Linked DNA regions of Notamacropus eugenii. The protein of the gene in region 1 binds, or shares a complex with, the protein of each later gene. Links are inferred from orthologs where the notes say so. Each region holds a gene or a part of one and is shown on either strand. Other genes may lie near its edges.

What was found.
Region 2: the proteins of DDN (region 1) and MAGI2 are in contact, whole or in part, in a crystal structure (PDB 6KKG), measured with the Mus musculus proteins. The link is inferred for Notamacropus eugenii from reciprocal best matches to the Homo sapiens genes DDN and MAGI2. Residues at the interface, in NP_001013763.1 of Mus musculus: Asp222, Arg223, Pro224, Pro225, Pro226, Tyr227, Val228, Ala229, Pro230, Pro231, Ser232, Tyr233, His237, Arg238, Thr239, Leu240, Gly241; in NP_001164217.1 of Mus musculus: Glu308, Met309, Ala310, Tyr311, Thr312, Glu313, Gly315, Tyr318, Ile320, Asp321, His322, Lys325, Thr326, Thr327, Ser328, Trp329, Asp358, Tyr361, Tyr364, Val366, Asp367, His368, Arg371, Arg372, Thr373, Gln374, Phe375.

Annotation. Positions count from the first base shown.
Region 1 is NC_092874.1:220,872,632-220,888,258, reverse strand, and holds DDN (dendrin), read left to right. Parts: upstream 1-9,098; coding exon 9,099-9,307; intron 9,308-9,757; coding exon 9,758-11,735; 3' UTR 11,736-11,829; downstream 11,830-15,627. Other genes in the region: PRKAG1 (5'-AMP-activated protein kinase subunit gamma-1), read left to right, coding at 801-849, 3,287-3,655, 3,795-3,853, 4,094-4,139, 4,244-4,298, 4,475-4,601, 4,741-4,906, 5,037-5,074 and 2 more. UniProt on the Homo sapiens protein: Promotes apoptosis of kidney glomerular podocytes. Podocytes are highly specialized cells essential to the ultrafiltration of blood, resulting in the extraction of urine and the retention of protein.
Region 2 is NC_092874.1:155,948,055-155,964,143, reverse strand, and holds the start of MAGI2 (membrane-associated guanylate kinase, WW and PDZ domain-containing protein 2), read left to right. Parts: upstream 1-8,016; 5' UTR 8,017-8,594; coding exon 8,595-8,895; intron 8,896-16,089. UniProt on the Homo sapiens protein: Seems to act as a scaffold molecule at synaptic junctions by assembling neurotransmitter receptors and cell adhesion proteins. Plays a role in nerve growth factor (NGF)-induced recruitment of RAPGEF2 to late endosomes and neurite outgrowth.

The DNA.
Region 1 (15,627 bases):
TGGCTTCTCTGGCTTTCTTCAGATCTCAAAGGCCCACCTTCTGCAAGAAGTCCTCCGTAATCTTAGTGCCTTCCCTCTGAGACTATCCCCTGTTTGTCTTGTATATATCTTATTTGTACATAAGTTTTTGCATGTTGTGAAGCTTAAATAAGATAATATTTGTAAAGTGCTTTAACTCAGGGCCTGGCACATAGAAAAAGGTGTTTAATAAATGTTTATTCTCTTCCCTTGTTTCTCCATTAGACTAAACTCCTGGGGACCAGGAACTGTTTATTTTTTACCTTTCTTTTTGTCTCCAGTACTTAGAGAAGTGCCTGGCATGTAGTCAGAGCTTAATAAATACTTGTTGACTGATCCACTGAATTGACAAAAGGTATTGGGTTGGAATTTCGAAAAAACTTCTTAGCTACAGAACATGTTTCATGTTTATCCTTCAGACATTCAAGTGGTGATGACTGACTGGCTGCCAGTTTCTCCCTGTCTTTGTGATTAGGGACCAAGTGGCATGGTCCTTATGCTCAAGATAGTACTTGGGGAAGGCATTGATATCCCACTATCCTGTTTTTGACCCCCATAGCAGATTCTTTGGGAGTCAGGTGTGGGCCCACATTTTGGGCTACGTTTTCAAAAGCTTTTGTAGCTTAGCCTAGGCCAGGAATCACTGGTGTCAGTTTTAAAGCATTGTTTCTTTTATGCTGCCTTCCTTATTGTTGGGGGAGGGGTAGATTCAAGAGCCATGAGAAACATAATGAGGTTAGTAGATCCTAAGTTAGGCTTAGTTCCTTTGTTTGTCCTTCCAGGTCACTATTCCAGAGAGTGGTATGGAAAAATGCACCCCAGCTCTGGAAGGTAATATATTTCATCATGATATACTCCAAGAAGGATGGGTACTTCTGTGAAAACCAGTGACCAGTCTATAATTGGTCTTCAGTTTCAGCAGGTTTTGTTTCTCTCCCATTGTACATGCTGGGGATATCAGGGCTGAGCCAAAAACCAGAGATATTAGGCCGCTTTATAAGAATTAGAATCAAGAGCTTATATAGGGAACAACAGGAATAAGTTTGGTGTTATAGGGGTGCTTATTAAGATTGTCATAAGTGATTTAGATAATTAGAGTAGGATTTTTTTTCAGTGGGAGATTCTGAACTGTTGTCAGTGGGAGAGCTATAGGCTAGAAGACCACATTATAGAAGTCCCTGTTACTTATTAAAGACCCCAGAGCCAGGAACCACCAGTCTTTTGTCACCCAGCATCTGAGTGTGTACCCTCACATCTGGGATGGCTTTGAAGACTTCTACATTTTCCCAGCATTTCAAGTCAGGAATAGAATGGATTAGGGATATAGTAATAAAATCCAAGACACAGGGTTTAGCAGTCCTACAGTGTTCCCAAACTCCTGTCAGTTTTGAGCCATTATGAAAGAACCCTGAATTGCCTTTACAGTTGCTTCTCTATACTGTGTGACAGGCTTTCGAACCTCACCCCAAAATAATGAAATAATCTTCCATTTATTTTAAAAAAAGATTTCTATTGCCGTAGGACATTAAGATTCCAAAGAGATGACGTAGACCTTCCCTGATGGATAGAGAGAGGAATCAGGACTTGACCTGTGATTTCATTGGTATAGGGAATCTCCTTCAGCTGAAGAAGCTTCATTTACCAATCCAATCAGTACCTTCTCTGAAACTTCTAGTCTTAAAAAATTGCCTAGAGTACTGACGGATTAAGGGATTTGCTTGGGGTCACATAGCCGGTATGCAATAGAGGTAGATTTGATCCCAGGGCTTCCTAGCTTCCAGGACAATCTTATATCCACTATGCCACACAACCTCTATAAAACGTATAATTTAAGGGGGTAGAAGGAAACACATGTACACAAATAACTATGATAACGAAGGAGTGATCCAGGAAAAGTAGCATGTGAAATTTTAGGGAAGATCATTTTGATTTGGTTGGGAAAAGGGAATAATTCCTGAAGGAACTGGTATCTAAGTTGAGTTTTAAGGGAAGGAGGAGACTTTCAGCATTAGGAGGTAGAGTGGAAAATTAACTAAACAGGAGAACAGTACAAGTTTGGAGAGGAGTGAGGGAAGGATGAGAAGTGGGGATAAAAGCTACCCTTGTCTGTTCTGAAAGTAGGGTATAAGAAAATGAATAGTATGAAGTAGGACTAGAAAGGTAGGTTGGAAGTTGGAAGGTTATGGAGACTCTTGGGTGCCAGGGTAAGGAGCTTTTAATTCATTAAGTAGTGGGCAGCCATTGAAAGCTATTGAAAAGATTATTGACATTAGGAAGATTATTGGGGCAGCAGTGCGAAGAGTGGAAAGCAAGGAAGCCAGTTAGGAGGACCTAAATATGCCCCCCTTCACCATTTCTGGAACTCCTTGAAGCTGCTGTGGACTTCCCAGACAGACTTTTATACTAGCCTCAGAGACTCTAGAGGCTCTATGGGATTTGGAATAATGGCTGAGGATAAAGGATAGAGATAGCTCTCTTCTTTATATTAAAAAAAAAAATCCATGTTGGGCACAGGATGAGGTAGGACAGTGCAGGCTATGGATATTTCCCTAGTTTGACAAAGGATATGGAGATAGTCTCAGTTTTCACTGGATTCTGAACTTGCCCTCTCTCTCAAGGCCTTATTAGTGGTACAGACTATTTGTGGATTTTTCTTACCCATCAATAAGACTTTCAGGATCCTACACCCAGCCTGACCTCACCCTAGACCCATCCTCAGAACCTTAGACTGCTGGAGGGAAATACAGGAAGCAGGAAGTCCCATCCAACATGGTGTTTTACTAACACACACCAACATGGTATTGAATTGGAATGGCTTGGATAAGGCAACCATTCATTCCTATCAAAAGCTCTCTGAAGCATCACAAGACTCTTATTCTATTCCAGGAGAAGAGCAAGAGAGAATGAACAGAAGTTATGGTGAAAAAACTTAGCTCAGAGAAGAACCTTCCAGACAAGAATAGACTTCTAAGAGATTATCCTTTGGAGAACTCTGAGTAGAACATTCTCTACCTGACAGGAATTGACATAGCCCTGCTGAAAGATGAAATGGTCTCTAGCCTTGGGAAACTGAGAATTAGATGGATTCAAAAAATCCTTGTCTAGGTTTGGTGGGAGGAAGAAGAATGAGGCAGGATGGAATGGGAGGGTGTCGTGGAGAGCGACCTCTCCATTTGGGAAGCTATAGCCCTCTGACAGAGAGGTGGGGGAAGGGGGAGCAGGGCTCACACAGCAGAATGGAGAACACTAATCCCCTCATGCTATGCAGAGACCCCAGAGTCCAACAGCGCTGTCTATACCTGCTTCATGAAATCCCATCGATGCTATGATCTGATCCCCACAAGTTCCAAACTGGTTGTGTTTGATACCTCCCTGCAGGTGAGTGAAGCTTTTATCCTCTACCCTTTCCCTGAGGCCTCTGCTTTATATATCCCATCCAAAGCCATTTGTAGGGCTACTCTTACCCTTCTTTCCCCTTATGCTTCTTATCCTCCTCCTCCCTCAATTTCTCTCCTAGTGACCCTTCCTTCTCTATTACTCATCCCCTCCTTGCAGGTAAAGAAAGCTTTCTTTGCCCTTGTCACAAATGGAGTTCGGGCAGCCCCATTATGGGACAGCAAGAAACAGAGCTTTGTGGGTAAGTAGGGGTCCGGAGGATGGATGATATCATCATGGTAGGCATGATGGGAAGTTGAGGGTGGCATTTGGGATTCCCTCATCTGAGGGTGTTCTAAGGGGAAGACAGTACGATTCCTAAGTATTCATTTGGCTTCCAGGCATGCTGACCATCACTGACTTCATCAATATTTTACACCGTTACTACAAGTCAGCCTTGGTGAGAAACCCATAACCCGTTGATTCTGATGCCATAGTCAGGAACCATTGATTTCCTCTTTGGGTCCCACCTCCAAGCCCTGCCACTGATTTCTGACAGTGTCTTCTTTGCATCCTCGGGTCTGCTTTCCTCCATAGTGCGCACAGTTCTTGCCCCCTGCTCCACTTCCCAGGGAACAGTCTGTTGGGGGTCTATTGGAATAGAGTGATAAAAGCCCGAACCCTGTTACCTCTATTCCAGGTACAGATTTATGAGCTGGAAGAACATAAGATAGAAACCTGGAGAGGTTCGTAGTAGGGAGTCACAGGGAGACAAAGGGTTGGAACATTTTCTTGGGAAGCTGTTTTCTTTGGTGGCATTTTGTGTGTAAATCATCTCTTCTCCTCTCAGAGGTGTACCTTCAGGACTCCTTTAAACCTCTTGTCTGCATCTCTCCTAATGCCAGGTGAGCTGCCATCTGCTTTTTCAGAATGGAAAAGTCATCATCAAAAGGAACCTGGGAAGGGTGGTGGGAGTGATGACCCCATACATACATGCCTTGGGATAGTCTGACTTTGCTCACTGTCCCCAAATCCTCTATAACCTACAACTGGAGCTAATCATTACCCCGTCATTCCACAGCCTTTTTGATGCTGTTTCCTCACTGATCCGAAATAAGATCCATAGACTGCCAGTCATTGATCCTGATTCTGGCAACACTCTGTATATCCTCACCCACAAACGCATCCTCAAGTTCCTCAAGCTTTTTGTAAGTGCTATTTCTCTTCCTCTCTGACTTCCCATCATCACATATACTGCCCTCAAGCCTCCCTGGGCTGGGTTAGGGAGTTGGTGGCTGAGGGCTGTTTGGAGGACCTGGTAGTCTAGTTAATTGATCTGTCTACCAGATTGCAGAGTTTCCCAAACCGGACTTCATGTCTAAGTCTCTGGAGGAGCTCCAGATAGGCACTTATGCCAACATTGCTCTGGTTCGTACCACCACACCTGTCTATGTTGCATTGGGCATCTTTGTTCAGCACCGGGTCTCTGCCTTGCCAGTGGTAGATGAGAAAGGTAAGGAATTGAGGAGGGAGAGAAGAAGGGGAGGGGAAATCTGTGTCCCCAGAGGTGTTCTGTGGGCAGTGATGGGGGTTCCATTGCTGAATTCCAAGCCCTTCCGGTTAAGATGCCCCTATTTTCACAGGGCGTGTGGTGGACATCTATTCCAAGTTTGATGTCATTGTGAGTGACTTCAGAAGGACCACTTCAGGTGGTAGGGAAAAGGAAGGAGGGATTGGGAAATGTGGGAAGGAAAAGGAGGGAATTCTTTGTGGGTTCAAGGGCTTCCGTGACACTGGTCTCCATATCTGATGGGAGAAAAGAACTGACTCCCTTACTGGCTAAGTGTGGACTGAGAGATGACCAGTTCACCTGAGTTCTGCATTTCTTGGGGGATGGAGTGGGATGGAATTGGGTTTTGGGAATTAGAAACCATGCTTTTGGGGCTCTTTGTCCTCATTTTCCCAGAACTTGGCAGCAGAAAAGACCTATAACAACTTGGACATATCTGTGACAAAAGCACTGCAGCATCGATCCCACTATTTTGAGGGTGTACTCAAGTGCTACCAGCATGAAACTCTGGAGACCATCATTAACAGACTGGTGGAAGCTGAGGTGGGGAAAGAGAAGCGAAAGACTTGGGAGTGTGGGAAAGCTGTGATTGTTGGATTGAAGAGAGAGGCTTGTAAATAGTGAAGGGAACAATGAAAACTACTTGATTGAGTTTGGCCTAAAAGCTCCCTTCCTTTCTCTCTTGCCATCCTATGCCAGGTTCATCGGCTGGTGGTTGTTGAAGAGAACAATGTGGTAAAAGGCATCGTGTCACTCTCTGATATACTACAGGCCTTGGTGCTCAGAGGTGGAGAGAAGCCCTGAGCTGAGCTGGAAAGAGTACAGAAAACACACCATACCTCTGATCAGCCGGATGGGATGCTAGAGGCTCTGATCCCTTTTGTGACACTCACCCACTCACCCAACCTTACTGAGAGGGTATAAAGGGGTAGGAAAACATAGAAACCCCCACACTTCGAAGGAGTAACCTCTAGCCCAGGCACCAACCATCTGCACTGGTTCCCTGCTTGAACTAAGGGCTGTGTGCCCCTCATCCTAGGTAATTCTGATCTCTAAGAGATCCCCAGTCCCCTCAGCAAATACCCTGCCCCTATCTCGTGAGATAATGTACCATGAAACTCTGTAAAGATGTTTTTATTCTTCCTGATACAAAAGGAGTTAGGGGGTGGGGGGAGACAGTGCCATTTCCTCCTATAATGATGTTGGTGGGGGAATACACCCTTTGGATTCTTGCTCTCTTTTCCCTTGCTGTGCTTCCCATGTCTTGGGGAGTTGGAAAGGAAAGTTCAGAATGGCTAGTCAGATTTATTTTTCATAGTGATTCTAATTAAAATGACAAAGATGCCCATTTCCTACAGTATTGTGTTTTCTTTGGGGCTATGAGCACCACTGATCTTGACCTCTGCATCTGTGGCTCCACATACCTCCCTCTTCTAAAACAGACTTGTTACACTTCACATCTCTCCTTTACCCAAACCATGCCCTTCCATGTTCCCAGCCTCCTCTCCCTCTACTGTGCTGGGACCTGAAGTTAATCCCTTTCGTACAGTATCTCCAGGGAGGAGGGAGGGCCCTTTCCCCATACAGACAGAAGTTAGTGCCCAGCCCCTCCCAACACCACTACCCTATACACCTCCCTGCCATGAATGTTCCAGGGACTCCCTCCCCCCCAGTGGTGCTGGGAAGGCAGGACTAGGCTTAGATTCTGCTGAACTGGCACAGTGTGTGAGCTTGCAAATCCCTTTTATTGCCTCTTCTGCCTTTCCTAAAAGCTGGGAATGGTTTGGGTAGCAGCAACAGTCCCAGAGGTAACAGATTTAATCCTCACTTGCCTGAGTACTGACATGCAGTCAGAAGCCATCAAATGGCACCTTCAACAGTGAGTTAGGGAGGTCTGGGGTGGGGGCTCTGGAGGGGAGGTGGGAGGACAGGAGGGTTAAATGCTAGCCTACCTCTCAATCTGGCCTTTCTTGCATTTTTGCATTCTTCACTTATTCTTCCCTATGCTACTTTTCCCAAAGTTCAGGTTTCTTAAAGTTAGGGAGGCTGTTGGAGAAAAGTCATGGGCTTCTGGGCATGCCTTTGTGGGGAAGGGGTACAAGTCCTAGGATACTCCCTAGGTAAAGAGGTCCTGCTGCGATGGGCCACCACCACACAGCACATTCCTGATCTTGAGGGAGGTTTCTGAGTGATTAGATGAGTTAGGGAGTATGCACATTCCATGGGGACAGGGTAGTGGGGGAGAGTTTGGAGAGGAAACTTTAAAAGGCCTAGAATTCTGGTAGCAAAAGAGACAGAGGCACCTTCACTCTTATTTAGCTATTACAATCACTGGAGTCAGGTAAGTATCTGGGCTCAGGGCAGGAAATGGGGGGGGGGGGTTGGATAGGAGTCAGATAAGTAATGTTATTGAAGTCCTTTTAAGGAGTAATGATGGGGACATGATTTAGAATCAGGATGCTTGAATTTTCTGTATCTGCCCCTGTGGGAGTGGGCATTTCAAGGGAGGTTTAAAAAAAGATAGAGAATAACTCCTATTGATCCATTCTCTACCTACCTGGTAACAACCACTGCTGACCCTGTACCCACCCCTACATGCATACACCCTTTTTCCTACCATATGTTTGGAAGGGAAGTGCAGGGATCTTTTAACAAATCAGGATTCCTTGCTATCTATCACTACCAACTCTGAACCCTAAGTGATCTCTTGGGTTAAGGGGGCAATTTTGGAAGTCTCATCTATATTCCTCTACTATTATCCCTTTTTTTTTTGAGGAGGTCAGTGGTAAGGGAGGAATGTTATCTGCTCCACCTAGAACTACATCCTTCCCTACCTCCACTTGAACTGCTAGCATGGTTGCTATGCATGGTTGCTAAGTCTCTGCATGGTGGGTTTGGCGTGGGCTGCGCTGTTACTAACATTGCCATGGTAAAGTTGGGAACCACCTGTAATAGTGCTGGGGGAAGGGACCATGAGAACATCAGAACACTCTCCTACTTTTGTTATCTGAGCCAAAACGGACCAGCGATGGGTGGACATCCTAGGCAGCAACAGGGAAAGTATTCAGAAAAGGGGAAGGGGAGGGATCCTGCAAATGCAAGCACAGCGGTTTTTTTGTCCTTCATTTTCGCTTAGTTGCACAACGGTTGGGAGAACTGGAAGCATTTTCCATTCTACCCGTCTTTCTTTCCTAAAAGTGCAGAAACTCATCCCACTTTTGTTTGCCAGAGTTGTGTGTGGGCATGATAGGGAGCGACTCTTCTCCCTACCTTCTGGGTTAGTGGGGGAAGAGACAGACTGCCATTATGGTCCCTCCCTCTACCCGGAACACCTAGAACTGTGCAAGGTGAAAGGTGTGGTCTCCAAAGCAGGCCCCCAGTGTTCCCGATAGCAAGGAAGGTGGAATGTGTGTGTGTGTGTGGGGGGGGGGGGGGTGCTTTAGAGCTTGGGAACAGCAGCTCTCAGCTCTGAGCTGAACACGAAGCAACCGCCTCCTCCCTCCGCCGCTGAGAAGCGGGTTACTCATCTTCTCCGGCACCCGCACTACCGCTAAAAATAACCCCCAAGAGCCTTGGGGCCGCCCCCTCCCTTTCCCCTGCCCCCAAACCCATGGAAACAGGCAGAGGGTGGAGAGCAAAGACCTTGAATTCCAAGGGACATTTTCTTATCCTAAATGAAGAAACAAGCTAGAGACAAGGAAAGCCAGGAATGGAACCCAAGTATCAGGGCACTCAGATTAACTGTAGAATAATGGGTTAATAAGACAGCAACGTTGGGTAGGGGGAGAAATTTTGAGGGCTGAGGAGGAGGGGGAGATGACCTTTGGTACCTAGTTGAAGAATCCACTTTCCAACTGGTCCCACTTGTGTTTGGGGGGAAGAGATGGAAGTGGGGAGTGTCCAGGTCGGCAACCAAGGACTGCCGCGTGCTGTGTGGGAGAAGTAGCAACACAGAACAACTGCCCGTGTCACATGCACGCACACATACATACACACACACAGACACACACGTGTGCTCGGGTATATATAGTCCCCAGTCCTTGGGTACGCCGCTCTGCAGCGGGTACAGGCTTCCTAAGCTAGGAGGGGGTTCTTGGGGTGGGTGGGTGGGGGGTTGGGGTTGGGGTGGAACAGGATGGTGGATGGCCCGCTGTTCTCCGAGGGGCCAGGCAGCCCCAGAAAGCCCCATGATGGAGAGTCTGCCGGCTGTTTGTGGGTACAGAAGTCCAAGATGTTAGTGATTGAAGTGAAGACCATCTCCTGTCATTACAGTCGCTGGGCCCCTGCTCACCAGCCCATGGACCCTACTGGGGGTCCTTGGGCCCAGGAACCTTCAAGCCACAGGTGAGTCTGAGGGCTTAATTGGGAGAATAGGTTGGGAGAAGGGCACAAGTAAGGGCAGTTTAGGTCCTGACCTTTCCACTACTTACCACTGATTGTAATGATACTGCTTAAGCCTCGCTGCACTCCTACTCCCTCAAACCGGGTGGGTCTAGGGTGACCTCGGGGGGGGGGGGGGGGTAGGGTGGGGGGTGGGGAGAACGAGAGATGGACATGGATTAATGAATAGAGGGGGAAATTGTGTGAAGCTTACACGATTAAAGTGTGACAAGGAGAACCTAGTCACCATAATAAAATAATCCCTATTTATCCCAGCCCTCCCCCCCCCCCCCCATTCTATAACCCTTGCGCACCCATTAGTCTTCATGGCTATCCTTTACTTCCCCCGAGGTTCCCTCTGCTTGTCCCTAAGCTTCGGGGGCCGCTCACCTGGGTTCCTGCTTATTGTCCCAGGTATGGGCTGGGCCAGAAGCCCCCAGAGCGGCTGCTTCGCCGGGCATGGGTGCCCCGAGTGTTGCAAGAGGCAACCAACTGGGGGACAGGGCACCCACCCGAGATCCGACCGAGGGAGCAAGAGAAAAGAAAGGCGGCCTCCCAGGAGCGTGAGGCCAAAGAAACAGAGAGAAAGCGGCGCAAGGGAGGTGGGGGTCGAAGTTGGAGCCCTCCAGGCCTCTGCCGTTCAGAACCCCGGAGTCCACTTAGCCGAGCCCGGGGCGGAGGTGGGCCCCGTCCCGAACCTGGGAGTATCCCTAAGGCCACCCAGCCTAAGGCTCGTCCGGTCCCTGGGTTGCCAGAGCACCTTGGGCCGGCCGGCCGACCGCCCCGTCCAGCAGCGCAGTCGCTGCGAGAGCCTGGCGCCGCAGCTCGAGGGGGACCCCGGATGGGGAGGCCATCTGGGCCTCCCAGTTATGAAGCCCACCTGCTCTTGAGAGGCGCTGCCGGGCCGGTCTCTAGGAGGCGCTGGGACCGGCCTCCTCCCTACGTGGCTCCGCCTTCTTATGATGGCCCCCACCGGACCTTGGGGGCCAAACGGCCCCCGCAGCTTCCCCGGCTGCCCTCCCCTCTAGCTCCGGCTCCAGCTCTAGAAGGAAAAGATAGAGAGGAGCGTCCCAAGAAGAGGCTGGATCCGCGGATCTACCGCGACGTTCTAGGGGCTTGGGGGATTCGGCAGGGCCGGGGCACCCTGGGTGGGTTTCTAGGAGGGCTTGGAGGGAAGACTTCAGACAAGGTCCCTGGGTTCTCCCCCGTGGGTCTCAATAGCAACGGCAGCGAGAGTTATTCACAGCCTGGGGCCAATCAGACCACAGGAGCAGAAACCATAACCTCTGGCACCCCCCAAACGACACCCAGAACCAAGCTCCCTCTCAGTGACACCTCCGAAGGGGAACGAGCAGAACAGACACGCAAGACCTGGGGTCCTTCCCCTGGAGACCAGCCACCCCAGCACAGCCAAACCCTTCCTAGACCCTGGGCCCCTGGGGGCCCAAGAGAGAAAGAGTCCCCGGGAGAGAGGGGTGGGTCCCAGAGGCCTTCCAAGCTTCCAGCCGACTGGAAGGAGACCCACCGAGCTCATACCGTGCCCCGCAGCCCCCATAATTCTGGTGGGGAAAACGGAGTGTTTGTCATTGACGCCACGTGCGTTGTGATTCGGGCCCAGTTCATTCCTACCCCTCAAATTCAACACGTGCAGCTTTTGCCTTCCCCGGGGCCACGGGATTGGGGGGACTCCCTGGCTTTCCAGAAACCCCGAAAAGAGGAGGGAGAGGAGGAGCAAGCTTTCCCTTCCCCATGCCAAAAGCTGCTGCAGAGTAGCCGGCTCTCTCATCAGCCCAGCAAGGGCTGCTCCGATGCCTGGGATGAGGGTGCTGAGGCTGGTGAGCCGGAGGACTCCTCCCTGGAGGAGCGCGCCTCCCGCATCCTGGGGCTCCCAATCAAGGAGCTGGACCTGGGGGCGTCCCCAGTTCAGAGAAGCTCGGACCCGGGCGGGCCCAGCGGAGCAGCTGAGAGGTGCGCGGATGGCGCCCGAGGCTCAGAGCCAGCAGCAGGGGGCCGGCGGCCGGCGGGCCGGGGCTGGGTGCGGGACCCAGGGCCTTATGCCGGGGCCCTGCGGGAAGCTGTATCCCGCATCCGCCGCCATACAGCCCCGGACTCGGACTCGGATGAAGCCCCAGAGGGCGGCGCCCGGAGCTGCTCCTCCGAAGGGAGCGACACGGAAGCCTCGGGTGCCACCAGGCAGCCTGAGCGAAGCCTGCCCGGGGGCCTAGACACACCAGGGACCCCAGGAGGGAGGGGAGAGGTCGGGCGCAGGGCCGGGGAGCTGAAAGACTGTATCCGGGAAATCCTGGATGTGATCTGCCAGACCGAGGAGGCACTATTCCGGGCCGAGGGCTCCGCTCAGGGAAAGCAGGGAGGGGGTCACCCCCAGCCATAGGTTCCCAGACCTCGGACGTGCTCCCGCCCTCCACGGTTCCCCCTCACCGTCCCCTTCACTCTGGCAGATTTCTCTCACCTCTTCTCACTTTTTTCTTCCATTACCCTACCCCTACACGTATTCCGACTTGGAGGTCCTCACATTGAAACCAGAGGAACAAACAGCCATTTGAGCTTTTACGGTTTTATTTTTTGAAGGAGAAGTGGGGGAAATGGAATCTTCTTATGTCTGGACCAGTTCCGTACCAATCTCAATTAAAGGGCTTAGAAAACAAAGCCCAGTGGTTGTTGGTTTGTTAATGTTTTTAACAGAAACCCTGTACATTATTGCGAGGCCCAAGTAATTCACACATCGCCCCAGTATTGACACCATCTGTTTTCTCACATACATAACCAGATAACCACTTTTTGTATTGGACTATCTTTTACATCACTTGAAAAACACAGAATTTCAGAGCTGAAAAAATCTTCAGAAACCACCTAGTTTACTCTCGAACAAGAATTCCCTCAATAACATCCCATAATATATAACATCAGCCTTTCCTTGGATACCTCTAATGAGGGGCAAACACTTCCTTCTGAGGACTGTCCATGATACTTTTGGATAATTCTAATTGTTAGGAAGGTTTTTCTTGCCTCAAGCCTCAATTTACCTCCTTGTGACTTCAGCCATTTTGCTTTTAATTTTCGTCTGGGACCACACACAATAAGTCTAAACCTTCTTCAACTTGACAGCCTTTCAAATATTTGGAGACCACTATCATTTTCGACCTAGGTTTTCATTTAAACATACCCAGTTCTTCAAACAATTCTTATACAAGTAGGAGTGAAGGCCTGCTTTTTTTTCTGGATGGCCCAGTGTATTTTGAAAAGACTGATACTATAGGATACAAAAGGGCCATAATCGGATAGGGAGGCCTAAGTAGAGATCAGATAGGTAATTGAAAGAGGGATAATAACAGCTGGGGTGATGTCAATTAGAGAGGGTATTAGGATAGAGGACTAATTAAAGGGGAGGGGAAGAAATAAGAAAGTGACTAGGGAAACTTTAAAAGTAAGTCTTGAAGCATTCCATAGTGGATTGGTTTGTTAGTGTGTATTTTTTTAAAGAGGTTACTGAAAGGAAGTAAAGGCTGGAGGAAGGAGGGGGAGGATTCAAATCAGTAAGTTCAGGACCTCCCTAATTAAGTTAATTCACTTTTATTCAGGAAGGGGGAATGAGCAAAGAGACCTCTCACTCTCCCCTTCACTCTCACACACCTTGCTCAACTTGGAGAATCCCAAGACTTGATGAATCAACCAACCAATAAGCATTTATTTAATATCTGTCATACCAGGCATTGTGCTAAGTGCTAGGTGGTGGCAAAAAGACAAAATTAACAAGCAGTCCCTACCTTCAAGGAGCTTGTAGTATGTAATGGGAGTGGTGTGGGATGATATATACACAAATTAGCAGATAACAAATACATATTTTATACATTGTGTACATATACATATATAATTTATTATCAGCACATAGGTAGGACCTGGTCCTTGAGCTGAACATTAAGGAAGGCATACAAGTCAGGTGTGGGAGATAGCTTACAAAAATAGTGGAAAATTGGAGATGGAATGCTATGTGTGGAGATCATTTATGGAGTAATGAAGAGATCAGTCTAGAAGGAGAGGTAGGAGCCAGTGAAGTGGAGTCATGAGAGATCAATCTAGAAGGAGAGGTAGAGCTAGATTGTGAAAAGCTTTAAATGCCAGACAGAGAAATTTGAATTTGATCCTAGAGGCAAGGGTGGAGGTTGAGGTTGAGGGGCTTATCTGTGAGTTGGGTGGGGGTTGCCTACTCTGAGCATGTGAAGACTTTCCCCTGGTGGAATGGGCAGATGAGAACAATTTGGTCCAACAGCCATGAAGGCAGCTGAAGCAGGTCCTGTGGAACTTTTAGGTCTTGGTCAGATGCCGAAGACAATAAGGTCATCCACTGCATCACGAGCCAAACCCCCATCATCTTGACTTGTGTCTTGCCATTGGACTTTGATGGCTCTGGAAGAGAGAAGCTAATGAACTTCAATGCAACTCTGCTTCGCTAAAATTCAGTTCTCAAAAGAATCAAATCATGACCCCATGATATCATTGGTCCTCTTTAAAAAGGAGGAACAAATGACAAGAGACAACAGGGAACTGATCAAATAATCCAAAGTATTATTCCTAAAGCATATGTTACAGTGACCCCATGCTCCAGAAGCTTCAGTGGCATCTCTGTTTAGCATTTCAAATCCTTTACTACTTAGCTCCAGACTACCTTTCCAGACCCACACTGAACCTTCACATACTCTGAGGTCCAACCAAACTGACCAACTTGCATCTCTCCTGTGACAGTCTCTATCCCATCTCTGAGCCTTTGCAAGTCAACTTCCACTGGACCAGCATCTCTGAAGTGAGAGGACTTGGGTTCTAATCCTAACGATGCAGCTACCTCTGTGACCTTGGGGAAGTCATCTCACCTCCCTAGGCCTTAATTTTCTCCTCAGTTAAATAAAGGGGTTGGACTAGCTGGCTGGGTCCAAAGATTGCTATCCTGTGTCTGAAATGTACTCCCTCTTTTCCTTTATTCATTATATTTCTTCAAAGCCCAGCTCAAATTCTACCTCCTACATATGGCCTTTGTGAATCCTCCTAGCTGCTCCCCTTCTAACCCCCAAGTTACCTTGCATTTTCTTTATATATACTGTTTATGTGTTTTTATGTGTACATATTTCCTTAAAAGGAGGCAGCTAGGTGGTACTGTGGGGAGAGAGAGTTCTAGAACTGGTATCAAAAGGATCAGAGTTCCAATCTGGGCTCAGATGCTTCCTAGCTGTGTGACTCTGAGTGAAACACAATCTTTGTTTGCCAGTTTCCTTAACTGTAAAATGGGGGTAATGATAGCACCTACCTCACAGGGATGACATGAGGATCCAATGCTTGCCATAGAGCCTGGAACACAGTAGGTGCTTATTTCCTCTCCAATAGAATGTTCCTTGAAGGCATTTTTGTCTTTATATCTCCAACACCTAGCATACAGTAGATGTTTGATGGTTGATTGACAGGGAGCCACCAGTACTTTAAAGCAGAGGGGATAATATGATTATATTAATGCTTCAGGGATATCACTCTTGCAGTTCTGTGGAGCTGGAGTAGAGAGTTTCTTGAGGCAGGACAGACATTGGAAGGCTGAAAGGTGATGAGGGGTCAAATTAAGGTAGTGGGTTTTTTGTGAGTGGAGAACTTGGGATGGATGAGAGAGTTGTGGAGGAAAAATGGCCAAGGTATGAGGGAGGGAGGGAGAGTAAGGGGTGCAGGAGGATTCCAAGGTTGCACACTTGGATGACTGGAAGTATGACTTTACCCTCTAAAGAAACAGGGGATGAGGAGGTAAAGATGTCTAGTTCCAGTCAAGATGGTCTGTAACCTTGGAGGATGTGCTGAGACTACTGCACAGAATAGGCTGCACTGGGGCTGTCACTAATCGTGATCTTAACTGCTAAGAGCTGGGAAGGAAATGGATAGCGTATGAAGTGATAGGTTCATAAGGCAGCATTCGGATGGATGGGGAAATCCCATGTTAGAGAATCTGTGCTTGAATCAAATTGGGCCCCACAGGGCTAATGCCCTAATCTGTGGCCTCTCACTTCCTCCTTCTCTTTTCTGAGGTCTTCACTTCATCTGTGGTTGCCACATTCCTCCCATGATGAAGTTGCATGCCAGGAGGAAATTTAAGAGCAAACCCTAAATCCCTCACATTAAACTTAGGGCAGCTAGAGAGGGAGGGAGTTGGTTAGGTTGGAGTTGGCCAGCCAATCAAGTTGTGTTACTCTATATGGTCACAGGGGGGCACACTTGTATTAAAGAATCTCCTTTCA
Region 2 (16,089 bases), about 65 Mb from region 1:
AGGAAGAAAGCACTAACTAGGGGCATCATGAAAGGTGAAACTGTAGCTGGGGTTGCTGGTTAAAAAAACACAAGCAATTATTAAGCATCTGTTATGTACAAGCTACACATATGTATATACATATATATACGCATATATACATATACATACATACATACACACACACACATATATACATATATATATATATATATATACACACCACTTTTCCTTGGTACAGGTGATGGAGGTGTGAAGGCTCTTAAACATACTAATAATCTCAAGAGTTTTTGACAGCCATTTCAACTACCAATTGACCACAATTTTTAAAAGTTATTTTACCAATAATATATTACAATTGAATAAATTTATTTTTACATTTTTTGTCAAGAATCAAATAAGCTATATGCTATATAATGTAAAGTAACATTTAGATATTACATGAGCTGTTATAACCCACCTTCATGGAGGGATTTGGTATGAGCATGCACAAGCACATAAAACATAAAAATTACAAAGAGCTGGAGCAAATGATGCCATAAATGAAATATATGATGACAAAAGACGAAGCCTTGGTCACTAGTGGAAAATGAATAAGACCCAATGGAAAGCCCATGAGGCTCCTATAGGTATCCTGGACTTTTATAGAGAAAGCAAGGCAGGTTCCCAGCATTGTGGGTGGACCACTTCTGGTGAACTTATAGGAAGAAATGAGCAAGGGTTGCACAGGATGAATAGGCATGGATAGGTTTCCATCTCCATTGTTGGAGGAAACATCCATATTAATGATGTCACAGATCATTTGAGTATTTCCTCACAAATCTGTGAGGCAGTTAGTTCAAGTATTATTCCCATTTTACAAAAAGAAACCTGAGATTTGGAGAGGTTTTATAACTGGCCCTGGCTAGTGAGCATCACAACTCGTTTGGGTGTTCTGTCTACTATATTTTTTTAAGTTCAGTTTCTCAATTAGGGCCTATTATGTACAAAGAACCAGGATCTACTATTTGTCTTTCTAAACTCTGATCATAGGATCATAAATGTTGAGCTGGAAGGGACCTTGGAGATCATGGAGTACAATTTTCTTATTTTACAAATGAAGAAACTAAATATCACAGAGGTTAGTGACTTGCCTAGGATTACTTAATAAGCAAGTGGCTGAGGGAGGATGGAATGCAGGTCTTCCTGACTCCAAGACAAACACTCAATCTAGGAAAGCACACTCCCTCCCATTACACTAAAACTTATTTAAATATTTGCCAACAAAGGCTGCCTTACATACGAATCTGAAAATAGAAAGAAGTTCCAGTACCCAGATTCCAAACACAGAGTTTGCCTTCTACCTCCCCTTCTTGTTCCTTTGTCCTTCCCCCTCACCCAAAGATGTACCCATCTCCATTCCAGGTACTTATTCCCCCTGGCTGCCCCTGAGGGACCAGACATATCTATATAGGACCTTCTTTTTAAAAGAAGTGGCCCCTGCTCTGGTTCTGTCTTTCTCTTTTTTTCTCACCTAAATATGTGTCCAATTACCTCAAGACTTACTAGTTGTTAATTCAAATTAAGGTTAGTATTTCACAAGGAATTTACATCTTAATAAGTACTTCTGGAGTAGAATATTGTAATCCAAAGAAATGATCCCAGGTTCATAACATACCAGATACTTTTGTTTATTTTTAGATATAAATAGTCTTTCAGTAGCATCCCTTAAGAACTTCAGTACCTTCACTTTGTAGGACCATTCTGATTGATTGAAGAGTGACCACTGACACAGCATCCAATCTTTGTTTCTTCTGGTCTTCAAAATTATGTTGGAGATTCATTTTCCTCATAGCTTTTCCAGATTGAGTAAAGCTATTATCTTCTGGCTATCACAGAATCACTGAATTTTAGATCTGAAATTATCTAGTTCAGCTCTATTATTTTACATATGATGAAACTGAGAACCAGGTATCTGAAATAACATGCTGAAGGTCACATAACTTATTAATAGTAAAGCCTGGATCTCAATTCGTGCCTTTTTGCAATTAGGCCTAGATCCTGTCCAGTACTGCCTACTGCTCATATGTTTGCAACATTTATATCCAGATGTAATATAAGCTCATTGAGGGCAGGGGCTATGTGCTTTTATCTTTGTGTATGGAGTATGTAACACAATGCCAGACACATGGTAGACAGCTAATAAATGGTTGTCAAGTGGCTGATTATATAACAATTGAATAAGGAGAATCTCTGTTTCTGTTGTCTTTCATTTGTGTGTTTCTATGGATGGGTATACATCAGCATACACACAGATGTTCACATACATTTGCTACTAATGGTGATTAACAATAAATCAACTGGCAGATCACTTGCACCTGTACTGATACTCCAATTAACTGGGGTTTTCTTCACAGGAGCTCTTAACACATCAGCAAGCATTTGAGAAGCAATCAAGGTAATGTCTCAGGGTTGTTTGGTCTTTTGTATCTGAGGTCATTTTTAAGCATTTAACAATATTTATCATGGACGTTAGCTATTGGCACATATCCAATACATACTGTTCTTGCCTTCTTTATTACTTTGTAAGCTCCTTTAACTTCATTTGCTAATGCCCACAGTATTTATAACAGTGTCCTTTGTACATGATGTGCTTAGCGATGGAATCCATTTACAGGGATCAGAAGTCAAGAAAGAAGGCAAATGGAAAGTTGTATTGACTGTTGTATACTCAAATAATGGTCAGAATGTGGTTTCAGATGCTGCTCACATCCATTACTTAACGATCTGCTTTCTCTTGCAGTCAACTGAAAACAAACAAAAAAAACACAAAATATTAGCCCCTCATTAACAATTATCCAGAAAAGTCTGAGACATTTTATCAGGGAGAAATGGATTATACTCAGGTTACTGATTTCCAGAGAATAACAAAATATATTAAAAGGACACAAATGTGGCAGTGTAATATAATGTAAAGAGCAACAGAGCTGGAGTCAGATAAAATAGTTTCAATTCTGCTTCTATCTGTGTCTGTGTGACCTTGGGCAGGTTACTTACCTTTTCCAGACCTCAGTTACCTCACCTGTAAAATGAGGGGGTTGGATTAAATAACCTAGAAGATTTCTTCCAATTCTAAATCAGTGATCCTTTGACAGGATCATAAAATTCCCTCTTTCAGTCTAGATCTGAGATTTTACCAGAATATGGAACTATTGGTTAGCAAACTCTCTCTACAAAGCATTTTTTTTTTTATCCAATTAAGGCCTTAGAGCATTGGCTGGGGCACTGCAAAGTTAAATGACTTTTCTAAGACCACGCAGGCAGTATATGTCACAGGTGGAATTTTAATCCAGTTCTTAATTCAAAGGCAGATGATATACTGCCTTTGATTTTGAAGTATAACTTTGTTTTAGTTTCCTTAAAGATCATTTCACATGAGCCAAAAAAAAAAAAATCTTTAATACGCTGTCTTTCCCTTTGCTAAGAATAACTGGCATTTAAATAGCAATTTCAAGTTTGCTAAACAATTTATGTCTCTTACCTCTATTAAGCTTCAAGTGGGACCTCCATTTAATGATTACCATTTTGTAGTTGAAGATACTGGGGCTCAGAGTTTAAGTGACTTACCTATGGGCATACAATCAGCAAGTGTCAGAGAAGGAACACAATCTATGTGTGCTTTAACTCTCTGTGTCTCTGTCTCTCTCCTAATGTGCTCTTTTCAAGGTAATAACAACAATTAGAATTTATAGAGCACTTTGAGATTTTAAAAACTATTTCACAAATATTACCTCATTTTTCCTCATCCTAACTCTAGGGTAAGTATTATTATTGTAATTCTCTTTTTTCAGATAAAGTAACCGAGTCAGATAGAGCTCAAGTGACTTTTTCTAAACCAAGTAAGTGAACCAGCAAGAACCGGAACTCTGCTCTTTCTACCTCCAAGTTTAACACTATCCACCATGCCATCTAGCTGTCTCTCAAAGTAAGTATTCATATTGGATACCCTTTTCTATCAACATTATGTTTGGACTAACCTCCCTATGTGTTCTCAGAAACTCTGAGAATTTATGCCATATGATCAGCTCTCTATCACACAGAAGATCTGTTTCTAGAATTAGGGAGACAGCAATATATAACACATCTGGTTAGAAACCTCTGAAGAGGCAAAGTACAAAACATCAACTTTACAAATTCCACTTCAAATTCTAGGACAAGATGAGCCTCTAAGATTCTTGTGATTAAGTTCTGACCTTGAAGAATGACACTGCAATCTACCTGTATTATATGACCTCGCCAATTCCAGCTATCCAGTCTCTCTTTCTTAAGCCCACAGGACTTTGTCCTCAACTTTCAACCCTGCTCTTCCCCAGGTCCATTCAACTTTATGACTCTTTCCTCCTTTATCCAAGACCTTCTCTACTGTTTATCTAGTGTCTAATGATTGATTTCATCCACCTACATTCTTAGATGTTCCTCATTCCAAAAACAAACAAGCAAGAACAAAACCAAATTTTTCCTTGATTCTTCTATTTCAATCAGGTACTAACTATCCCATGTTTTTTTTTTTTCTCATCAGTGGTAAACTTTCTGAAAAATATTTGCGAGTATACAAGTCCTCTATTTCCTCACACTTATTCTCTAAATCTTGTAATCAAGGGCTTTGTCCACAGTCATTAATGGAAACTGCTCAAATAGCCTTTTTTGAGTACTTCCTTTATTTCTACTGGTTTTAGCATCGTGATGCCCCACTAGTAAATGCTCTCCCCTCCTTTAATTCATGAGCAAGACACACTCTTGGTTTTCCACTTTCCATTTTTCTCCTTCACTCGTTCCTGATCTTATTCCTGGCTTTAGTGGTTGCACAATTCTTCATTTCCAAAGGAAAGTACACTACATTCCTACAAGCACCTTGTCCATGCTAATGACTCCCAAGTGTAGATTTCTTTCTCCTCTAAGATCTATAACTACACATCAGGCTGCCTGTGGACATGTCTGCCTGAGTGTCCTATTGGCACCGCAAACTAAGAGCTCATTATAGTTTGCCTTTTTGTAGCTTTTATTCTTGGCTTTGGTCTTCAAAAGGAAAATAACCAAAAACTTACAGGAATTACAATGTAGCTTTTACTTCTTGATCTACTCTGCTTCTCCTACCACTCTCAGACAGAGCAGTATGAAAATTGAAGTAGAAAGATGGGGAAGGTGGTAGAAATCTACACCACTGACCAAAGACAGCCACAAACCAGAGAAGGTCAATCAAAAGTATAAGCTTCTTCTCCAGGATCAGTGTGGTTGCATTTAGAAGTGGAGAAAAGAAGGGAATATCCCCTGATTTTTCCTTTATTAGGAAATAAGTCAATTTAGCACCCTGAAAAGAAAAATAGAGTCTCCTAGAGGCAGGGGTCTCTCTGTCTCTGTTCTCTCTCTGTCTTGTTCTCTGTCTCTGTGTGTTTCTCTCATTTTCTCTCTCCTGCATTTCATGTGGCTTAAACTTTAATTTTATAGTCATTTAAAGTACAAAAAAACTTTGACTTTCTTAAGTTGGGCTCTGAAACTCTGGGGTGAGGAAAAAGTCCATCTCAAAATCATTACAAACCAAAGCTTCCTCCAGGCTCCAGATGTCCTGCTTTGAGGATGAGTGAATGAGATTCAGCTTAGTGAAGAAAAGTAAGAGAGAGGTATCCTATATATTAAAGCTTTAGAGAGAGGAAGATTTGAGACTTCTGACAATAGTCAAGAGTTAAGTATGTCATTCTGTGAAATGACCATTTATCCTATTTCTGAGGTTCATAACCTCAGGCTTATATTTGAATCTTCCTAATTTCTTATTTCCATTGAGTTTCCATGATCAGTGAATCTCAGCTTTGCAATATTGCTCACATCTGTTTGTTGCCTTCACCTAGAGCAGTCCCTCATTACTATCTGCCTAGAACAGGGGTGGGAAACCTGTGACCTCTAGGTCCTCAAGTGTGGCCTTTTGACTGAATCCGATTTTTTTTTTCTGTGAGGTTTGGCTTCAGTCAAAGGATCACACTTGAGAACCTAGAGGGTCAAATATGGCATCGAGGAGACAGGTTCCCCACCGCTGGTCTAGACTACTAATCTAGGCTCTTGACAAGTATTTCCTCTTCTACTCTCCTTCCCTTCAATCCATTTTACACACTGCTCTTTGTATTAGATTTCTTATGTATTCATCTCATCATATCACTCCTCTGCTCAAAAATCTTCAGTGAATACCTCCCAAACAATATTCTAATTCCCCTGCCTACTGTTTGAGGTTCTCTATAAATTCATGCCAACAGATTTTTCTAGCTTAGATCATATTACTATCAACCCCTTCTATTCTTTGTTCCCTGAATGTACCTTATGGCCTCTCATCTCAGGACATTTTTTTTCTCATCATTAATCTCAGTCATTTGACTTCTGAATTTCTAGTTATTATTTAAACCACAGCTCAAATGCTATACTTACCTTGAAGTTTTCCCTGATATGCTGCTGGTAACTATTTTTCTTGTTGGGCTTTATATCACAATTTGCTTTTATAACTCCTTAGAATACTTATAATGCAACACATTGTGTTACAGTTACATGTGTTTGTATCACATCCCTCCACTAAAATATAACCTCCATGAGAGCTGGGAGTCTACCTGATACAAATATTGTATTTCCAAAGTGTACTATACAAAGTTCTCCCCCATAATTAGTGCTTCATAAGTTTTCTGAATTGAATTATTAAAATGAATGTTCCTTTCATAAATTCATAACTTCTTTAGATAACGTAGGACTTTGCTGCAACACTGTTCCTGGCTTCTGGGCAATCCCAAAGGAGTTTGTTTTTTCTTCCCACCTTTTCAAAATATAACCCAGATTGGATGGTTCTCCATCTCTTGCAAATAGTGCACGTATTACTAATGTTTAAAAAATTCCATTAAAATTTTTCTGCTCTATATTAAAGAAACAACAACAAACCACGATCTCCCAGAAACTAAAATTTTAGGTTTTAAAGTGAAAGTAGCATCCCCTAGAATAATCCTTATTCTTCCATTCCCATCTAAGCCTTTCTCGGCAGTGAGTCACTTTTTAGCTCTTAGAGAACAAGTCTCTCTTCCTTTCCGTACTTTAAACCTGAGCTCCTAGTTAAATGCAGCAGCAATGAACAGGTTAAAATAGCTAAGCTCTCTCCTTAAATGGCTTCAACAACCCCCTTCCCCGTCTTTCCCCCAATCTCTTGCTTTTTTTTCTCCAAAGAAGTGGGAAGCCTGGATAAGGGCAGCCCTTGGTGCTGGGGGTGTGGAATCCCCCTGCCTACTTCCTGATTTGGGGGACTTCTGTTCCCCTAGTCCACCTACCATGGTTCACTTCAGACAGAGGGGAAAGTGGAGGGGGCGGAGCTGGCAAACTAGGACTCCAAGCTGCTTTAACCCTCTCCCACCAGCTACAGTCACTATCCCAGAGGTCTCCAACTTTTTCCCCCCTCCTAGAAAGAATTCTAAAGTCTCTGGCTCTGGGGACGTGGTAGGAGATAGATAAGCAACTCCTCTACATACTGAATTGGCATTCCCGCCACTTGTCTGTACTGCTCTCTGACTGCCCCCCCTTTCCTTCCCTTCTCTCTGGCCTTCCCTCTCGTCAACACCCCAACCCCCCCACCCCCACCCCGCGCGCACCTCCCTCCCCACCAAGTCCGGACGCATTTTCCCCACAGAAATCTCACGCCAGAGGACTTGCCCTGCCCAGGCTGCAGATGCTCTGGGATGCTTTCTCCCTCCTTCTTCATCTGGAGCCTGGGGCAGCAGGCAATAAGCACTGCGGAGCTGGGACAAGCGGCGGAGGACAGCCGGCCCGGAGGCTGCTAGGGCCCCCTTCTCCTCCTCTGGTCCTTCCTGTCCACTCTCCCCTCCCCTCGGCCAGCCGCGCTTCTTTCTCCCTTTGCCTCGGCTTGCTACCCGCCTTCTCCGGTAGGCTGCCAGGCGGACCCAGCCTGCCTTTCTCCAAGCCTTCACTACCGGGTCAAGCTGAGGAGGGGAGGGAGCTCCAGCAGCAGCCCAGAACCCCTCCCCTACTCCCCATCCAACAAACCCTCCTTCCCCTCCTCCTCCTCCTCCTCCATCCTACCTCCCCTCTTCCTTGCTGCCAGTTACAACTAGTACGCTCACAGCAGCTGCCATGGATATCAGCTAAACACACGCGCACACACACACACACACACACACACACACACACACACGCAGCGAGTGACCCCTAGTATCTCAACCCTCCCCCCTTTCCCTTTCCCTTTCCCCACCCCCACCCCCTCCCTCCCTCCCTCCCTCCCCAGCGCAGCTACTGCTCCGGCTGCTGCTGCCACCACCGCTGCTCTGCTCTCTGCCGGGGCCACAGCCTTGAGTGTCATTCAAGCGGCCGCCAAACACCACCCCAAGCTCTCTTATCCCAGCCTCAGCCGTCATCCCCTCCGCTTCCCACTTCCCATTCCACACTTCCCCCCAAAAGGGGAGGGGGGAAGCAAGCAGGGAGTGGGGCCGAGAGGAGGGAAAGCGAAGTCTTACCCTTCTTACCCCATCTACTCTCTCCTCGTCCTCTCACCTCCCGGACAGCCCTACATACCGGAGCGGAGCAGGGCAGACCACCCTACTGCCATGTCTAAAAGCTTGAAAAAGAAAAGCCACTGGACTAGCAAAGTCCACGAGAGTGTCATTGGCAGGAATCAGGAGGGCCAGTTGGGCTTTGAACTGAAGGGGGGAGCCGAGAATGGACAGTTCCCCTACCTGGGGGAGGTGAAGCCCGGCAAGGTGGCCTATGAGAGCGGCAGCAAGTTGGTACCGGAGGAGCTGCTGCTGGAGGTGAATGAGACCCCGGTGGCGGGGCTTACCATCAGGGATGTGCTGGCAGTGATCAAGCACTGCAAGGACCCTATCCGACTCAAGTGTGTCAAGCAAGGTAAGCACAGCTTTCTTATTTGTGTGACGGACAGCGAGACTCCGTCCCTGGGGCTAGAGGGTGGAGGGGCGTGCGTGTGTGCAAAAGGGGGTGTGTTGTGTGACGGTGGGGTGGGAAGATACAGAGAGTCATGCCAAAGCAAGGAAGATTTGAAGATTGCCCCACTTGGGGTAGTTTAAGGACTGAGGAGGCTAGGGTACAGATGAGGATGTGGCATGGTATGCAACTTTGTTTTTTTCAGTGGAATGAACTTGGTCTTGAAGGTGAGGGGAAAATTGAATGTGCGTCAGTGGCATCCCTTGGCGTGGAACTAAGATCTGGGGAAAAGAGAGTGGAAGGAAGGAAGAACTTAGGGAGCAGAGGCACCGCCAGCGGGGCAGAGAGGAATAAACACTTGCTGGGGAGAAGGGAGATGTGATAATTGGGGAGATGCGGATATTCCAGTGACCCGGACTGGAGACGCCGAAGTCGGTTGCCGGTTAGGAAGGAAAAGAACAGATGTCTTTGGGCTCTTTGACAGCTACTCAGTAACTTTTTTTTCCCCTTTCCCTCTTTTCTGTCCCCCCTCCCCCCTTCAGTCTTGTCATGTGGATAGATAGCGTCATGTGCAGCACCAAGTAACCCAGGGCAGTATTTAAACAACCTTGACTTCTAGGGATGAGACTAGGGCACATACGCAGGGTGCTGGTGCAGTAGAGAGCTGGTACTGGTACTGGGGAAATCTAATCAAAATGTACTGCGCTTAGTGGTTTTTTCCTCATTGAATGGAACTGTTATGGAGGAGTTGCCTCAGTAGGCTGGGCTTTCCCCTGGCAGGGGTTATTGGTGGGTGTGTTTCTAGGGAGAAGTGGATGGAAATGCCAGCTGGTTACCTCCCAGGCTCCTTCAACTTTGAGCTTCTGGGAGGCTTTTATCCTTTGGGCTTGCCCCTGATGTGAACATAGGAGGAATGGGGTGGGGGAGGAGGAGAGAGAGAGTGCTAGCTGAACTCTAGTAATCTTACTGGCTGTTTCTGTTTGAAGGAAAATGAGATTCCCCAAGGAGGAAGGAATGAGATAAAAGTTTGGCAGAGGGAATAACTTCAAGGAGACTCACATAGAGACTATTCTTTCCACATGTGTGTGCATGTGTATTCATAGGCAAATTTTGCACATTTCATGTGTATAGGGGAGTGAATATATATATATATATATATGATTGTGCAAATTTTTTGAGAGGTATATTATATTCTTACATTGTTAATAAATTAAAGATGCTACTTTTGTTTATAGAGATATGTACAGACACCCCCACTTATACATATATGATTGTGAGATTGTCCTCACAAGTGCAATTGACTGGCACCACAAAACTCTATTCAAGATATTTTGGTCCTCAAAAGGATTAGATGTATAAATAAACAAGTAAAAAAAAAATGCCTTGAAAAGGAAAACTTAACGCAGGAAAGGGAGGATGGGATTCAATTAGTGTAATAGACTGGAAAGAAAACAGACTCCAGAATCAGAAGACCTATGTTCAAATCCCATGTCATGCTTAATACCTTTGTGACCCTGGCAAGTCATTTAAACTTTGTGCTTCAATTTCCTGTACTGCAAAATGAGGATTGAGGAATAGATAGCTCCTGAGGAAACTTCAAACTTTAGATCTCTGATTCTATGACAGCTTTAAAAAGAGAATTTTTCAAAAATAGAAAAAAAAATCTTCACAAACTTAATTACAACCCTACTGAGAATTGAATCTATATGCAGAGTTGGATACAAATGCAGTATTTTATGCTTTCCAAAACTGCATACCCGGGGCTCAGCTATGAGGATTTGAATTTTTTTCTTTTTTGTCTGTGTTCTGTGTAGATCCAGCAACCATAGCTTCTAAGATTTCAACCCCTTCATCACTTTTAATGTGAAGAGATATTGCTTTTAATATGTTAATCAAATATATGTATATACACACATATACAGTCATATATGTATGTATATAGTCATATATGTATGTATATATGTTTATATATAGAAGCAACAAGTTAATATAGAGAAAATTTTGTTGAATGAGCATTTTCTTGAAGATTACTGGTTAACTAGCATTGCTGAGTTTCACTAGTAGAGTAATAATTAATTGCAAGGTATCATACTTAAGGCACTTGTATAGCCTGATGAGGCTTTTGAATCATCATGAATAAAATGATATTCAGTCTTAGTGGCTTAGTGTTGTATATCATGATAATATTATTATGATTCTTTGAAAGTTCATAAAAATGTCTATGCTTTAACCAAGATTCTTCTTTGTTCAATCCTGTCAGATAATAGAAAAGCTTATGGATCTTTATTATTCCACAATGGGAGCAAACTTAACCCTGGTCAAGCCACTGCACATCTCTGGGCCTCAGTTTCCTCAATTTGTTAATTGATAGAGTTGAACTGGATTCCCTCTGAGGTCTCTTCTGTCTCTAAATCTGTGAACTCTTGCATAGTTTTATACATTATTCTTTGCTTTTTCAAAGAAAGTACTTTGACACAGAGAGAACTGGCAACTTGAGAATAAAATGTGTACCTTCTCTTTGTAGTATGACTCTTAGATAACAACTGAAGTTTGAAATATGCTCTACTTTCAAATGATTATAATTTTCAAAAAAAATTGAATAGAGTAAGAAGAGTTTACTTAATCAATAAAGGAGAATATTAGTTTCCATCAGAATCTCTGATTTAATTAGTGCAAGGCATTCCAAGTAAGGAAATTTCCAGTGCAAGTTTTAGTATTCATGAGTTGCTTAGGGGCCAGCAGTGAGAGGTTCTAGGTGACTTTCCCAAGATTATAAAGAGAGTGTATATCAGAGGTGGAATCTGAATGTATGTCTTCCAGATACCAGATGACTTGCTACATACTACAAAATGATATGTTCATACATGAATACATATATTGAAAAATATTTTCATTTCAATTCATTCAAAAAATTGATGAATTTTCACTCTTATCTAGTTGTGCATTGGCTATCCCTGGATGTATTGCAATTTTAAGATATTGCTATCGATAGTCATTTTGCTATGTGGCTTAAAAGCATACATTTCTAAAATTATTATTTAGCCAACTTCATAAAAATCCACTTTTTAATTTAAGTTGGCATATTTCCAATTCAGACATAGAATACAAATGTGGAATATATAATTGTCCCAAATCCAATTTTTGTAAATTATTCCTTTTGTGCTTTTAAAATAATTAATTTTCATTACCCAAGTGATTTGCTCTTAAGTAACTGTTTTTACTTTCATTCATTTTATTGAGGAATTGTATTCATAGAAAATTCCTTGAATAAGATTCAATGGTGTGTGTGTGTGTGTGTGTGTATGTGTGTGTGTGTGTGTGTGTGAATTCTCACACAGATACATAGACATACACACTATAGTTCATAACACAGTCACAAGGAATACTTCTGTACTACATTTTTTGGACTGTGGCTACCAGTACCACCTGGTGACACAAATAGTCATGTACCATGGTTTTCTTTTGAAGTACTTACAAATGGAAAATAGGAGAAAAGGGAAAAAAGGAGAAGTAGCTTCACCTAACCCCCTTAGTTCCAGAGAAAGGGAATATTCTACCCATTACTCATTTGAAGACTCCAAGAAATAAAATGAAACATAATTACTAACAGTCTAATTTTGATCTCCTTTATAGAAAGAGTTATTTATATATTCCTTCTTTTTGGTGAAACAAGACACATACTCTCTCATAATAAAGATGACTTTTTCCTCATGATACTTTGAAGTAGGGGATGGGAATAGGAGATGTGCATCAAAATTAAATATTTTGGTAACTTGGCACTTTCTTTGATTATAAAATATCTTTACCATCCTGAAACAAAGTTAATGAGCATATTACTTTTATTTTGGCATGATTTATTCATGACATTTGTGTACATTTTCCCTGTACATAAGTAATTAAAGGAACACAATCTTGAAAGGACTAATCAACTATTTGCCTTTTTTAAAAAAAGAGGGAGATTAGTCTTAGAATGAAATCACAGTCAGAAGTATGTAAGTACTAGTCACTACTCATAACATTTACAATGTGAGATCTTTCAGCACATGCAGTATAAGCACATCTTCCTTTCAGTGACTTGAAACTCAAACATGCAAATTCTCAAGGAGCAAAAATGTACCACAGATCTCATCTTGGATTCTTTCTGCTTTAAACAATGGCTTTCAAAAACTCATTTAAAAATAGCAGACTAAAAAGTTGATAATCCTTTTCCAATTATGTCAGTCATTAAGATATGGTAGCATTGCAAAGTTTTTTAAGCTTAGAAGACTTCTCAAATTTTGAGCTAGAGTTGAGGGTTAATAATATTCCTAGTGGGAAAATGCAAAATGATTTACATATTTAAAGTTATAGTCAAATTCAAAGATATAGTTGATTTTTTTTGATCTTGAAGATGAATTAAAACTTTTTCTCTAAGTGAAGAATTAATCCTATAGTTAAAGATAATATCTATAAGCAGAATGAAGTACTCAGTAGAGGCTTTAGATTTGTCCCTCCTCATGCTGAATGTTTCAGTAATGGGTAGCTACTTTATACAAAACTAGTACTTTCACCATCCTTTTGTTTCTGGAATTAACTCCCTCCCTCCTCTGCCAGTGAATCATTCACCACAAACTTTCAATCATCACAGTCCTTGTGAACAATGATCAGGGTGAGGAAGAGGAGAATTAAGAGTGTGTCTTACCTCATGGAAGGAAGGAGAGCATGCTCAGTAGTGGGGCACTGCCATGGTGAATACAAGTAAGGAGGGTACTGGAAAAAAAAAGACATTTGGTTTAGCTAAGAGGAAGTCATTTGAAGGGAGGAGGAGGAGGAGGAGGAGGAGGAGGAGGAAAGAGAGAGAGAGAGAGAGAGAGAGAGAGAGAGAGAGAGAGAGAGAGAGAGAGAGAGAGAGAGAGAGAGAGATCAGTAAGAACATCTGGATTTAAATTCTATTTATGACTAGCTGTGTAACCATGGAGATGTCACTTAACATTGCTGAGCCCCCATTTCTTGATATGTAAAATAGATAATACTTATGCTACCTAACTCATACATGTAAATGAATTTGCCAACTAAAAGTTGCAAAATTGATGTCAGTTATCATCATCATAGTATCTAGGTTTAGCTGTATATTATTTTTATTTAAGGGCGAACCAGTTTGTTACCTTACTCCCATATGTTTATAGAAATATAAAATTTAATAAGACCTTAATGATAATTTTTTAACCACCTAATTTTGCTCATGAGAAAAAAAAATCCAGAGAAAGAAAGAGATTTGCCTAAAGTAACCCAGAAGTTAGTGGCATGTTTGGGACTTAAGCCTAATTCAAAGACCAGAGCTATTTGCATTATACAAGGATGCTTTTCAGTTAGAAGTACACTTTCATATGAAGAAGAACAATTGGAAAATAATTTATGTCTTTATTTACAAACATGACATAAAAAAATTTTAAAAAGAAACAAACAAGAAACCCATTTAAGCATGTTCAGAAAACTTAATAGGAAGGTTGTGTTTCTGAGAAAGTGGTGAGCCAAAAGAAAATGATATTTTTTCTTAACAATTTATAACTTACAAAAATGCAATTTCTCCCAATAGCTTCCCTGCTGATATGAAGAGGAGACTACCTTGGCTACTTAGGTTTTCATTTAATCTGAAAACACTTTTATCCATCTTATCAATTGAAGGTCATATCTTCCTAACTTTATAGAACTGAAGAATTCATTCTCATATCTGTGTGTGTGTGTGTTTGTCCTTCATTGCCAAAGAATACCATGCCATTAGAGAAATAATGACATGACTTGCACTTGACTTTTTGGTTTTTTTTGAGTGAGGGAGGGCTGTGCAGGTCACCAGCCTCACTTCTCCTCCAAGAACCTCTGAATCCAGTCACCAGATATTCATCAGGATGACTGGAGATGACCTAGACTGAGGCAATTGAGGTTAGGTGATTTGCTCAAGGTCACAAAGCTAATGAGTGTCAAGTGTCTAAGGTGAGATTTGAGCTCAGGTCCTCCTGACTCCTGCACTGGTGCTCTATCCACTGCACCACCTAGCTGCCCCAATTTGCATATCTATTAGTAACTCAAAGAATTCAATCTCTTGGTCTCATCTCAGATGCAATCAAATGTTACCATATCTCAACCTTGAGCTCCCAGTTGTGTATATTTTAAATCTTTAGAGAATTTTAGAGCTGTATTTTGGGGGGTTACTTTGGAAATCAAATGGCATAATTCATTGATTCCCAGATATTTAGGGAATTAAGGTATCCTTTTTGCTGTTTAGTAGATTTCCTTATGTTTCTGTCCTTTCCTTTCCAGAAACACTAGATGACACTTTAAAATTGAAAAAAAAAAATCAGAATGTATTTTTGAAATTTTTTCTTAAGAATAACAAACATTTGAAAAATCAGTTTGAAAGGAGAGTGAAGTGTTATAGAATCAAGGAGAAAAGTTTCTGGCAATATGATTGACACTATTTTCATGTTTGGAGGGTGGTAGGGAACATGTCTAGAATTGTGATACCATTGATATAGGTATCAGGATGAAAACTGTCTCTATATATGTAGATTGGCAGCTCATTTATAATTTATAGCAATAGAGAGTTTCTTGAGGTGCAGTGAGGTCATATTACTTCTCCAGGATCACACTGTCAACAAACATTTATTAAGATCCAGTTGTGTGCCAGGCACTCTGAAGAGGTCTTCGTGGCTCTATACACACTGATAAGTACCACTTATTTTATACTATAAATTGAAAGTATAAAAAAATTAATGACATGACTTGCAAAAGATTTGACACAGAAGGTAATCATTCATAATATCCATAGGAATCCTGCTTTATAAACTATATATATTTATTCACATCCTTATTGATACATAAATTACCCATTTTAGTCAGTGAAAGAGATAATATTTGGGGGGATTTAAAATCCCTCCAGAAAATGACATTTTATACTAATGTTTGGAACAATTTTAAAGAGTTATACTGAAATTCACTCCGTTGCAGTGGTAATGTTTGAAGTCAAAGGGAAGTTTTCTGTTTGAAAAAGTAAGTCAGCTTTCTTGTCACCTTGCTGATTGTAAACTCTATTTTCACATCTATTATCAAAGATCCATTAAAATAAAATAATTTCATAGTAATTACGGGATGTTTTTTGCTGTTATAGTGATTGCTTAGATA